3 linked regions of the Notamacropus eugenii genome follow. The protein of the gene in region 3 interacts with the protein of the main gene of each other region in a pairwise test. Links are inferred from orthologs where the notes say so. Each region holds a gene or a part of one and is shown on either strand. Other genes may lie near its edges. The genes, in order: APTX, APLF and XRCC4.

Region 1 (3,748 bases), on a different chromosome or scaffold from region 3:
CTTCTTCACGCGGGCCGGCGGTTACACCTGGCTACTCCAGCCTGATCGTTCATTAGCAGGTAAAGTGACGGAGGCCCGGTCCACAGCGAGGCAGCGCGGCTGCACGGGCCTCCAGCCCAGGCCGGCCGGGAAAGCTCCCGCCTCTCGGGGTACAACCGTGCCGACGTAAGCAGTGATCACGGGAGCGCGAGGCTAGGCGTCCCCTCCCGCGTCGGGGCTTAGGACGCGGACACGCCGGGCGCGAGGGGGCCGCCTCCCCGGGCTCGCGGGCCTCGGAGCCTCACGGAGACAAGGCCCTTGCTATTCACGCCGGAGGGACTTTTACAACCCCTTCGAAAGTGCCCGGAGGGCGGCAGAGAGGAGAAAGAGGAACGAAGCGGAGAAAAGAGTGGAAAGAAAGGAAAAGGCCCGGCCAGCGCCCCGGGCGGAACGCCCGCCTCCCCTCCGTGATCCTGCGTCTGCTGCGAGGATTGGCCGAGAGCGCCACAAAAGGGAAGGGGCGGGACCGCCCTTCCTGGCCAATCCCGCGTAGCGAACGCTGCGGTCGCTTCCTTGTGACGTCATTTTAGTGCGCTGTCCTGCTGGGGGAGGGGCTGGGAAAAGGGGGATCCGGAATTCGACCGGAAGTGCCTGCCGAAGGAAAGCTTTGCCGTTTTCCTGGAGACAGTTTCATTAACATCCGAAGAGGTAAGCTGCCAGCCTGGTCGTGGCTTCTGCCCTTTCTGTGGCAGTGTCTGGGGCTGACCGGTGTGGAGGGGGCGGGGCGCTCATCTCCCTGGGAAATGGGACCGAGAGGGGGAGGAGGAGAAGCGAGGGTGGGCCCTGCGGTGCCACCCCGGAGCCGGGGGCGTCCCTCTCCGAAGGGGCCCTCGGACCTCTGGCGGTCCATTCGGGAAACACCTTCCGGGGCCTGCTGGAATAGAACGAACGTGGTTGCCTCGACTGTGTGTGACCAAGCAACCAGTACTTTTAGAATTGGAATTAAAGTCAGCCACCAAAGTGTATGGGTGTCGTGGGGGGCGGGGAGAGGCACGGCACCCATCCTCGCAGGAGTTTACGACGTAAGAGAGGAAGATGGTCTGAGTTATTCCATGGCTACGTAGAGAGAAGTGCGAGCAGTGGTAGGAGAAAGCGCCCGGGGGCCTCGAAGGAGGGGGAGGGGCCTTATGTTCTTCTAAATACGAGGTGCGCGATGTCCAGGAGCAGAGCGAGACAGGACGGGGCTGAAGGTCTGCAATGAGAATGTAGGCCGGAATGAACGGAGCCTTAGAGCTCGCCTTCATTTTACATCCAGGGTCACTCACACGACAAGTCCATTGAAGAGTCTGAATTAGTGCTGTATGGGAATCGAGGTTGGCGAGTCCATGTCATGGCGTGCTTCGAGTGCCAAAATGAGGAGTTTAAACTTCATCCCATAGGTCGAGAGTTGGCTACCTACTTGAGACACACTTTGAGAAGAAGAGAGTTTTGGGGGTTTTTTAGATAACTAATTTTTAATATTCTCTTCCATAAGACGTTGAGTTTTGCATTTTCTCCCCTCTCCTTCCCCCTCCCCAAGATGGTACGCAGTCTAATATAGACTCTATTTATACCTTCATATTAAGCATATTTTCACGTTAGTCATGAGGTAAAGAAGAGTCAGAACTAATGGAACTAGGAGAAAGAAGAAACAAAACAACCAAAGAAAAGGAGTGCAAATAGGACGCTTCCACTCCCTTCAGACTGGATTCTTTCTCTGGTTGTGGACAGCGTTTTCCGTTGTTGATCTGGAGTTGTCTCAGATCCTTGGTTGCTGAGAAGAGCTACCTAAGTCTTATCAAAGTCAGCCCTCCAGCGGCGTGCCTGGTACCATGGCCAGCGCTCTCCGGGTTCTGCTCATTCCACTCAGCATCAGTTCATAGAAGTCTTCCCAGGTTTTTCTCCTGCTCATCACTTCTTACAGTGCAGTAGCGATTCCATTACACCCATAGACCACAACCTGTTCAGCCATTCCCCAGTTGATGGACGTCCTCTCGATTTCCAGTTCTTGGCCACCACAAAAAGAGCTGTTATAATTATTTTTGTACCAAAGGGCCCAAGGCCGTTTTCTCCTTTTTATGATCTCTTTGGGATACAGACCTAGAAGCGATATTGCTGGGTCAAAGGGTGTGCACATTTTTGGAGTTCTTTGGGCATGGTTCCAAATTGCTTTCCAGAATGGTTGGATCAATTCACAACTCCGCCAACATTGTATTAGGGTTCCAATTTTCCCACATTTTCTCCAATATTTACTATTGATTTGCATTTCTCTAATCAGTAGTGATTTAGAGCATTTTTTCATGTGACTATATAGATAGCTTCAGTTTCCTCCTCTGAAAACTGCTTGTTTATATCCTTTGACCATTTATCAATTAGGGAATGACTTATATTCTTATAAATTCAACTCAGTTCTCTATATAGTTTAAAAATGAAGCCTTTATCAGAGTCATTGGCTGTAAAAATTGTTTCTCAGCTTTCTGTTTTTCTTCTCATCTTAGTTGCAGTGGCTTTGTTTGTGCAAAAACTTTTTAATTTAATGTACTCAACATCATCCATTTTGCATTTCACAATGTTCTCTCTCTCTTGTTTGGTCATAAGTCCTTCCCTTCTCCATAAATCTGACAAATAAACTATTCTTTGCTCTCCTAATTTAATTACAGTATCAGTTTTTATTTAAATTGACGAAAGTTTTGAAGGGAGGGAAGAGCTAATTTTGGAGTTTGGTGGATTTGGGTAAACCATAAACAATAAGAAGTTAGGGCAGGAAAAATCAAGACAGCTAATCAGTCTGAGAAGATAACTATTCACACTGTGTTGCCATTCATCTTGCAGGCTCTAGGCTAGTAGTTGTGAAGAACTTGAGATTTTGGAAGACCAGAAGGCAGAATGAGGACTTTAGTCTTCTTGAGGGTAGGAGATAAAGGGGCAGGAGTTAAGAGATGAAAAAGAAACAAGCATTTATGAAGAGCCTACTATATGTCAGGTACTATACGAAAGTCATTGCAATTATTATCTCATTTGAGCCTCGCAACAGCCTTGGGGGGTAGGCTCTAATATTATCTCCACTGGTGACTTATACTAGTTTTATTTCCAGTAGAGTAGAGGAAATAGAAACCAGAGTGAGAAAGGGTACCTATGATTTGTTGAATGAACAAAGAGAGAAATAAATGCACCATTTTAAGGATACTCCTATAAGGTGTTCAGTCATGAAAGGAAGAACAGAAATAGTATGGTTACTTAAGAGGACTACTTAGGGTCAAGGGAAGGTTTAGTTGGTTGTTTGTTTTTGAGGAAGGAGAAGACCTGCGTGTCCTTGAAGACAAAGGAAAGGAGCCAGCAATGAGAAGGATTGAAGCAGCTTGACAGAAAGGGAACTATGGAATATAGGTTATAGAACAGGAAGGGCCCAACCGCCTCATTTTATAATTGAAACTGAGACCCAGAGTGGTTAAGTGACTTGCTCAGATCTCCAAGTACTAACTAAGATTTGTACCTAAGACCTCTAATTTCAAATCCTTCATTCCATTTTTTTAAAAAGTGAAGGCTTGAAAAAAAACTTTTTGAAAGGGTGGAATTCAGTGGAGGGATGGTAAAATAGGTTTGATAATTTGTACCATAGATGATTAAGGAGTTGAAAGAGTCTAAAATATTATTGAGGGTTATATTGAAGTGAATGATCATGTTGGGCTAGGAGATGTGAATGAGGGAGGTTGAGTGAATTGGAAGCAGT
Region 2 (3,748 bases), on a different chromosome or scaffold from region 3:
ACCCAACATACCCAAGGGGACTTGCCATCACATTCACCTGCATTCATAAAAGGAAAGAAAACTTTTGCGGGGTTAACAATCACTTTAATCAAGCACATGTATCAATCCTTTAGTCAAGCACATACATCATTCACCTAGTTTAGGGGAGCCAACACCCTAATTCCCAAAGTAATAAACAGATATGGCTTCTTCTGTCTGACCATAACTTGACAGATAGCTGTCTGACCATAATTACCAGAAAATGACATCTGGGTTTTCAAAGCAGGGGGTGGGGGGGCTCCTTAAAGCTGTAGCCCAGAGTCATCATCTGGCCAAACAAACACTTCCAGTCAGTAAACCCCAAAGTAAAATCTCACCCTCAGAGTATTTATGCACTTTTTAGGGCCAGAGGGCATAACCCTCTAACCCAGTGACTCGAGAAAAAACAAAAGGCACTTGGGACCCTCCTACAAAACTATTCCCATAATCAAGCTTCCCACAAAGGGCAGGCCCATCAATGGGTGGGAAAAATCCTCCCAATCACATTATTCAATCAGAGGCACTTTTAGGACAACAAAAACCACAAAAAAATTCTAATTTGATTTCCTTTACACTAGAAAACAGGAACTAGTTAACTATTCCTCAAAGCTTATTTCCTGCTTCGAGTCATTTGTACATGTTATTCCAGGTGCCTAAAATCCACTTCCTTTACATTACTGCTTCTCAGGTTCCATTTCCTTTGTGAAGACTTTCCTGATAGTCCTAAATTGTATTCATTCACCAGTCTCAAATTGATTTGTATTATGTTGTTGTGTAGATTATGGAAGAAATTATTTTTGTCCTTGTATACTAACTACCTGGCACAACGTCTTGTACACAGTAATAACTTAATAAATGTTTTTGTGATTTGAAAGTTGAGTACAAAGTCTTTGGAAGAAAAGCTTAGCACCTTTGAATGGAGTTTAGCAGATGTAAACCAAGTCCCTTTTATTTTCTTTATAAAAAAAGAACAAAAACTTCTCTCTCATCCATTCAATACTTGCATCTGTTGGGATATCTATGCAGAGAAATTGTTTAAATTCTCGAAAGTGGGCAAAATTCTTGGTTAGTAATAAAATGGGGGAAACAATACTGGACTTGGGAGTCATACTACAGTGACAGTCCCAATTTTGCCCCTGGTACTACTAGCTGTAACTTCGGACATACTTAACCTTTCTAGTTCTCAATTACATCATCTGGAAAATAAGCAAGTGGAACTAGATCATCTCTAACGACTACCCTTCCAGCTCTAATATTTCATGACAATGGACAATTGGTTTCTTAAAAGCACCTTTCATCTTTGCTTTTTGAACAAGAAGTTTTGTGGACAAAGCATAAAGCACAAAGTTAGGAATCAAGAAAACCTGAGTTCAAATCTTGCCTCAAGTACTTCCTAGCTGTGTGACCCTAAATCACTAAATCTTTTACCTCTGTTTCTTTATCTGTAAGATAGGGGTAATAATAGCATCTACCTCACAGGACTGAGGATCAAATGAGATAATACTTATTAAGGATTTTGCAAACCTTGAAGCTTACCAGACTTCACGCCTACCTTTGCCAATTATTCACTCAGTCACTTTCTCTACATCTCAGTTTTCCCATTTGCAAAATAAGAACACTGGACTAAATGCCGTTTGGCACTAATTAAAACAATCCTATGCAAAGATAGATAAGAGGGTAAGTTTCTAATAAATCAAATGGAAGATAAAGAGCATAATTTACTCATTTCTAGATCCCAAACCTCTCTCACAGTGAGCATTTATTTATATGCGTGTGTATACATATGTGTGGGTACGTATAACACTTATATAATATATATTATATACACTATATATAATACAGTATATATGTCATATATAACACTTTTTAAGTTTTGCAAAGTGGTTTTACACGTGTTATCTCATTTGATTCTCATAACAACCCAGTGAGCTATCAGCATGCCTATTTTACGGATAAGGAAACTGAGGCAAACAGGTTAAGTGAGCCGCCCGGGATCACCCAGCTAATAAGCATCTTTGTCAGGATTTCATCTCAGGTCTTTCTGACTCCAAATTCAGCGCTCTATCATACAAAGTGCCTACACCTAGGTGCTACAAAAGCAAAGGTGCTGCTGGAGCAGAGATCCGATGGACATCTCAGAAATCTGGCAAACACTTCAATCAGGGCTTGGTGTCTTGTTTTGTTGCTTCTGTGGACTAGAGTAACGGAGAAAATGTTAACAGTGCAGACTAAAATTACAAGTGTATCATGCGGTTTGGGGGGTCTGTGGATAAAACTTTTCGTGCGCACCGCAGCATCGAGGATACAAAGTGACAAAGCCTTGGTTTAAAAAAAAAGGTGAAAACAGCAACGCACACTTGGGAGGCTCAACGAAGTTTGCAAACACTTGGCTCACCCAGGCGTCATCGCCCCCAGCGGAAGACACTTTCTGGCCTGTTTAAAGGGACGGCGGGGCTAGTTGGGCAGCACGCGCCCACCCCGATCGGAAGGCAAAGCGCCAGGGCAGGGTGGGCGAGCCGAGCCGCGGCGCGCCCGGGGCGGGGGGGCTGCTCGTACACTTACACCCAGCAGCGGCCCGCGTCCGATCACCGTCTCCCCGGGCGACAGGGCCACCCGCGGGCCGCCAGATGCCGGCGCTAGCTCGAATCCCCCGGCCATGACGAGAGCAGCTTCGGCCGAAGCCTCGGCCTCGCACGGCGACGCCTCACCGGCCTGCGGACTGAAGGACCCCTTTGCGGGATAATACCCTGGAGCACCGCTGAAACACGAACGCCAAAACACGGGAGACACCCTCTTGCTGACCCCGCCCCATGACGAGCCGGGATTCCCCTCAGCAGCCAATCCAAAGGTTTGCAAGCCTCATACGTGTCCACCCCCATCGCGACTTCCCCGCGGCTCTGGTTCTTGTAGTCTTTAGCTCTGCCGCCTTCCGTTCTCATTCTTGTCCAATTGGAACTCTAAAAACTACTCTTCCCAGCAGGCGCTGTGCAGCTCGCTTTTGCGCCTGCGCAGAAAGAAGGCGTCTGGCACGACGAAGTGGGCGGGGCGTAGAGCAAGCTGGCAAGATGGGGTTGGATTCGAATTCCGAAGCATTTAAACGGCCGTTAGCACTGTAGGGAGGGGGGGCCGTGTAACGGCTGCCCTAGCCCCAAGCAGGTAGGGGACCCGAATTTCCTGGCAGCCCACGCGTCCCGCCTTTGCCAGCGAATGCTGCGAGCCTGACGCGCCGGCTCCCAAGCTTCGGTGACAGTTGATGGGGACCGTGGTTGTTTCGGTCATTGTCAAACTCCCCAGTTATAAGGCGGCCCGGGGCGGGGGGCGACCGAGGAGTAGGCGTGTGTCTCCACTCCTCGGGGCTGGTGACTGATCTCTCCCCGAGGGCTTGCGCCCGGTCCTTCCTGGGGCTGTCATCGGCCCAGGACTGACACCCTCTGCGGAAGGAGGGCGGGGCAGGCGGGGGGAGGTAACTTTGCCGGGTTTTTGTTTTTTTAATGGCATCTTAAAGCTTACCAAGTGCTTTGTCTCACCCTGCGGTGGGGCACGTGCTGCGGGGAAAATTTACACCTGATTTATAGGTGAGGAACTCAAAAGAAACTCAGAGCAGTTAAGTGGTTGCCCGGTGTCCCCCTTACTGCGAAAGGACAGACCTAGGATACTTTGTAGCTTTCAGTGACGAGGGAAGGCAGTTAAAAGTGGTTGCCCGGTGTCCCCCTTACTGCGAAAGGACAGA
Region 3 (3,748 bases):
GTATCCTTAGTTTCTGCCTTACCACTTTTCAATTTTCCCAGCAGTTTTTTGTCAAATAGTGAGCTCTTGCCCCAAAAGCTTAGTTCCTTGGGTTTATCAAACACTAGATTACTATAGTACTGTGTACCTAATCTGTTCCACTGATCCACCACTCTTATTTCTTAGCCAGTACCAAAATGTTTTGATAATTACCGCTTTATAATATGGTGTGATATCTGGTAGGGCTAGGCCACCTTCCTTTGCATTTTTTTCATTAATTCCCTTGATATTCTTCACCTTTTGTTCTTCCAAATGAATTATTATTTTTTCTAGCTCTATTATTTTTTGGCAGTTTGGTTAACATAGCACTGAACAAGTAATTCTCACTCTCTTCTAAACCCACTGCAATCTGGCTTCCAAATACATCATTCAAGTAAAACTTTTCTCCAGTTGCCAATGATTTCTTAATTGCCAAATCTAATCTTTCCTGTTTTCATCCTTCTTGACCTCTCTACCACATGTGACACTGTTGGTAACTTCCTTCTTTTTCATACTCTCCTAAGTTTTCATACCTTGCTCTCTCCTGTTTCTTCTCCTTCCTTCACTCTTCAATCTCCTTTGCTGGATTTCCGTCCCTTACTTCTACTAAATGTGGGTATCCCTCACATCTCTGTCCTGAGCTCTCTATACAATCTCACTTGTTGATCTTCATCAGCATCCATGGATTCAATTTTCAGCCTTGCAGATAATTCCCAGATCTATATATACAGCCCTCAGTTATCTCCATAGCTCCACTTCCACATTTTGAACTGGATGTGCTAAAGGCGTCTCAAACTCAACGTATCTAAAACTAAGTTATCTTTCCCCCTAAAATCCACATCTTCTGAAATTCCTTATAACTGTTGAGGACACTACCAGCTTCCTAGTCCCTCAAGTTTGCAAGCTCAAAGCCATTCTAGACTTTATCCCTCTCAATCATGTCCCCACCCCACTGCCAAACCCTGTCATTTCTTCTTCTACATTATTTGTCACCCCCTTCTCTCGACTTCCTATTACCCGTAGGATCGAATAAAGTCTTCTGTTTGGCAACCAAAGCAATTCATATGTCGGTTCTTTTCTGCTTTACTTCACTACCGTCCCGGAACTGAATGATCCAGCCATGCTGGCTTTCTTGGGGTTCCTCCCACAGAACACCCTACCTTCCATCTCAGTGTCTCCACCCGAGCGGTCCCCACGCTGGAAATATTCTCCTTTCTCACCTAGATCCCTAGATTGTCCTGCAGCTCAAACGTTCTGCAGGATCTCCATTCCCTGGGGCCATCAGCCCCAAGCCTCTGGGATTTCTCTCCACGCACGCCGCAGAGCTCTTAAATGTAGCTAGTCATGGATACATTGTAGTCATGGATATATTGTTTCTACACGCGCCTTGGAGCTATTTCAGGGCAAGAACCACAGAACTTGGGGGTGGTTTCTACGTATCTCGGGTCTTAGCCACAACGACGGGCCTACAGTAAGTGCTTAAAAAATTGCTTAATTCCTCTGCCCTACGATTCGCCCACACCTGACCGGGATCTCAACCAATTAAATCTCTCCTTAAACTCTCTAATTCCGCCCCCCTCCCCCCGGCCTGGATTCCGAAGCCCGGAGGGAAGAATGAGGCCAGCCCAGGGGAATAAGGGGAAAGGACTCTGCCCAGGCCCGGAGAAGACTGGGGCTGCTGACGCTTTCCGAAGCAGAGGGAGGGGCAGCGAAGAATGGGAAGCCAGCTCGAGAAGGAGCTGGAGGGACTGGGGAAATAAACTGGGGCAGCCCCCGGGAGTCCAAACCCGACGGCGATCAGCAAAGACCAGGCTCGCTGGGACACCCCCGCTTCCGGGCCCTACCTCGTTCAGAGCCTCCACTTCCGGCTTCCTCCAAAAGGCCCGCTCCCGAGGCAGAAAGAGCCGCGGCCAATCAGAAGGGCCCTTCTCCCATGGCGTCACTACCCGAGCGGCCCCTCCCCTCCATTCTCGACCAACCGCGCCGCCGCAGCCTCGCAGCGCGTGAAGCGCTTTCCTACCTCGGACCAATCATCGGGAAGCGTGGGGAACGAGGCCAGACGGAGGGGGCGGGGCCCAACGCCTCTTCCGCCCGTTGCCCCGGAAGGGTGATGTGGCTGGGGGTAGCGGAGGTCTCACTATGGTAAGACCCGGCGCTCGGGGCTGACTTGGTGCGGGCGGTGGGCAGGGGGTGGCCCCGAGGCACGGGGGTGACGGGACCCGGGGCGGGCTCCGGTGCGCAGACGGGGAGACCCGCGAGGGGAGGCAGCGAGGTGCCCCTCCCCGAACCCCCGAACGAAGGGTTTCTGGAAAGGGTAGAAAAGAGAGGGCCGAGAGACGGGGAGGGGGGCGGGGAGGAGAAGGACGAGGAGAAGCCCCCCGCGCCCGGCTACCGGCGTCCCAGAGCGCCGGCGGAGCGCGGGGCCCGGCGCTGCCCAGAGATGCCCCCCGCCCGCGGAGGCCTTTAAAAATAGCCGCTGAGAGCGTCCCCGGCCCGGTGGGAGAGGCCCGATCGTGGCGCGGTTTGTCTTCGGGGCTTTAGGCTCCCGGGTTTTCTCTGCCGGTTTTCCTTTCCCGTCCTCACCCGGGCACCGTCTAGGGAAGACTTTTCAGGCCCCAGCGCGGGCTGAAAGAGCTATTTGTTTGTACCATCCCCCCACAGGCAGTGGTGCACCCCCAAGGTGTCCGTCACTGAAGTGACCTTGCCTGCCTGCCCCCCAAACCTGCTTACGTAAAAGGTGAAGCCTCCTTAGGGGACGCCTCATCTGGAAGTGACGTCAAAATAAATCTTGAACCGATGAAGGCATAACAAGTATTTGAGTGGTGGGAGGATCTCATATGAAGCTTCTTATACGTAGTATTTGTCAGTTAGATTAAACACCAAAAGATTTTGCTGTGTATTTGCCCCATCTCTGACTCCCACTGGATGTGTGACCCCCGGTGTCTCCAAAGGAACTGAAAAATACCGTAAATTACATAGCTGGTACTGCTCTAGATTGGCAGAGGGAGTTTCCTTACTAGAAATTAATTCCCTGTTCAGCCAATGAAATCTTTGTTTGTTTTTTAAAGCCAACATATTTACAAAAGAAGGCTTCAATCCTTGTAACCTGAAAAGTTGTCCTGACTCCAGCCAGTACCGTACCTTGGGTAGAAGTTCAGCATTTCCAGTTTAATAGCTAAATAGTGAGTCCTGACTATTTTTTTCTACCCAGATTTTACATTGCTAGATACACTATTGTAGGTTAAGATTCTCTGTGATGATAAATAAACTTGATCCTCTAACAGATTTAAAGGTAGCTCTGGGAAGTTGTCTAGTGGTTGACTTTTTTTTAAAAAATTGCAATTCTAAACTTGACACAGCTTAAGAAAGAAATAGAATTGTATATGAAGCTTTGAATATCGTTATGAATCACTTGTTTGTTTTTCTTTAATTCAGCATGTTCCAAAGCTGCTTTGCTTGTCGGTGTTTCTCTGAACCTCTTTGCATTTTCTTTCAGTGCTTCTCTTGTGCTCTTGTATTTTTTGACATTGCTATTACCATTCTCATTCTCTCCCCCACGGAGCAAACAAACAAATATCTTGTTATATAACAAGTTAGCATAATCAGGTAAAAAGAAATCCACACATTGACCATCCCTGAATATGCACTTCTAGTCAGTTCTGTGAAGAGATGGGAAATCTGCCTTGTGGAGTCGTATGGTAGATGGGTATTGAATTGAAGAGAGTTAATA

Evidence for each region.
Region 1: the proteins of XRCC4 (region 3) and APTX interact in binary tests that used the Homo sapiens proteins (3 or more experiments, as listed by UniProt). The link is inferred for Notamacropus eugenii from reciprocal best matches to the Homo sapiens genes XRCC4 and APTX.
Region 2: the proteins of XRCC4 (region 3) and APLF interact in binary tests that used the Homo sapiens proteins (3 or more experiments, as listed by UniProt). The link is inferred for Notamacropus eugenii from reciprocal best matches to the Homo sapiens genes XRCC4 and APLF.

The regions. Positions count from the first base shown.
Region 1 is NC_092874.1:312,850,924-312,854,671, forward strand, and holds the start of APTX (aprataxin), read left to right. Parts: upstream 1-948; 5' UTR 949-1,003; coding exon 1,004-1,121; intron 1,122-3,748. UniProt on the Homo sapiens protein: DNA-binding protein involved in single-strand DNA break repair, double-strand DNA break repair and base excision repair.
Region 2 is NC_092872.1:635,105,668-635,109,415, forward strand, and holds the start of APLF (aprataxin and PNK-like factor), read right to left. Parts: upstream 2,702-3,748; 5' UTR 2,677-2,701; coding exon 2,581-2,676; intron 1-2,580. UniProt on the Homo sapiens protein: Histone chaperone involved in single-strand and double-strand DNA break repair.
Region 3 is NC_092875.1:460,070,123-460,073,870, forward strand, and holds the start of XRCC4 (DNA repair protein XRCC4), read right to left. Parts: upstream 2,882-3,748; 5' UTR 2,749-2,881; intron 2,161-2,748; coding exon of another isoform or gene 2,158-2,160; exon of another isoform or gene 1,863-2,157; intron 1,640-1,862; exon of another isoform or gene 1,179-1,639; intron 1-1,178. Other genes in the region: TMEM167A (protein kish-A), read left to right, coding at 2,158-2,160.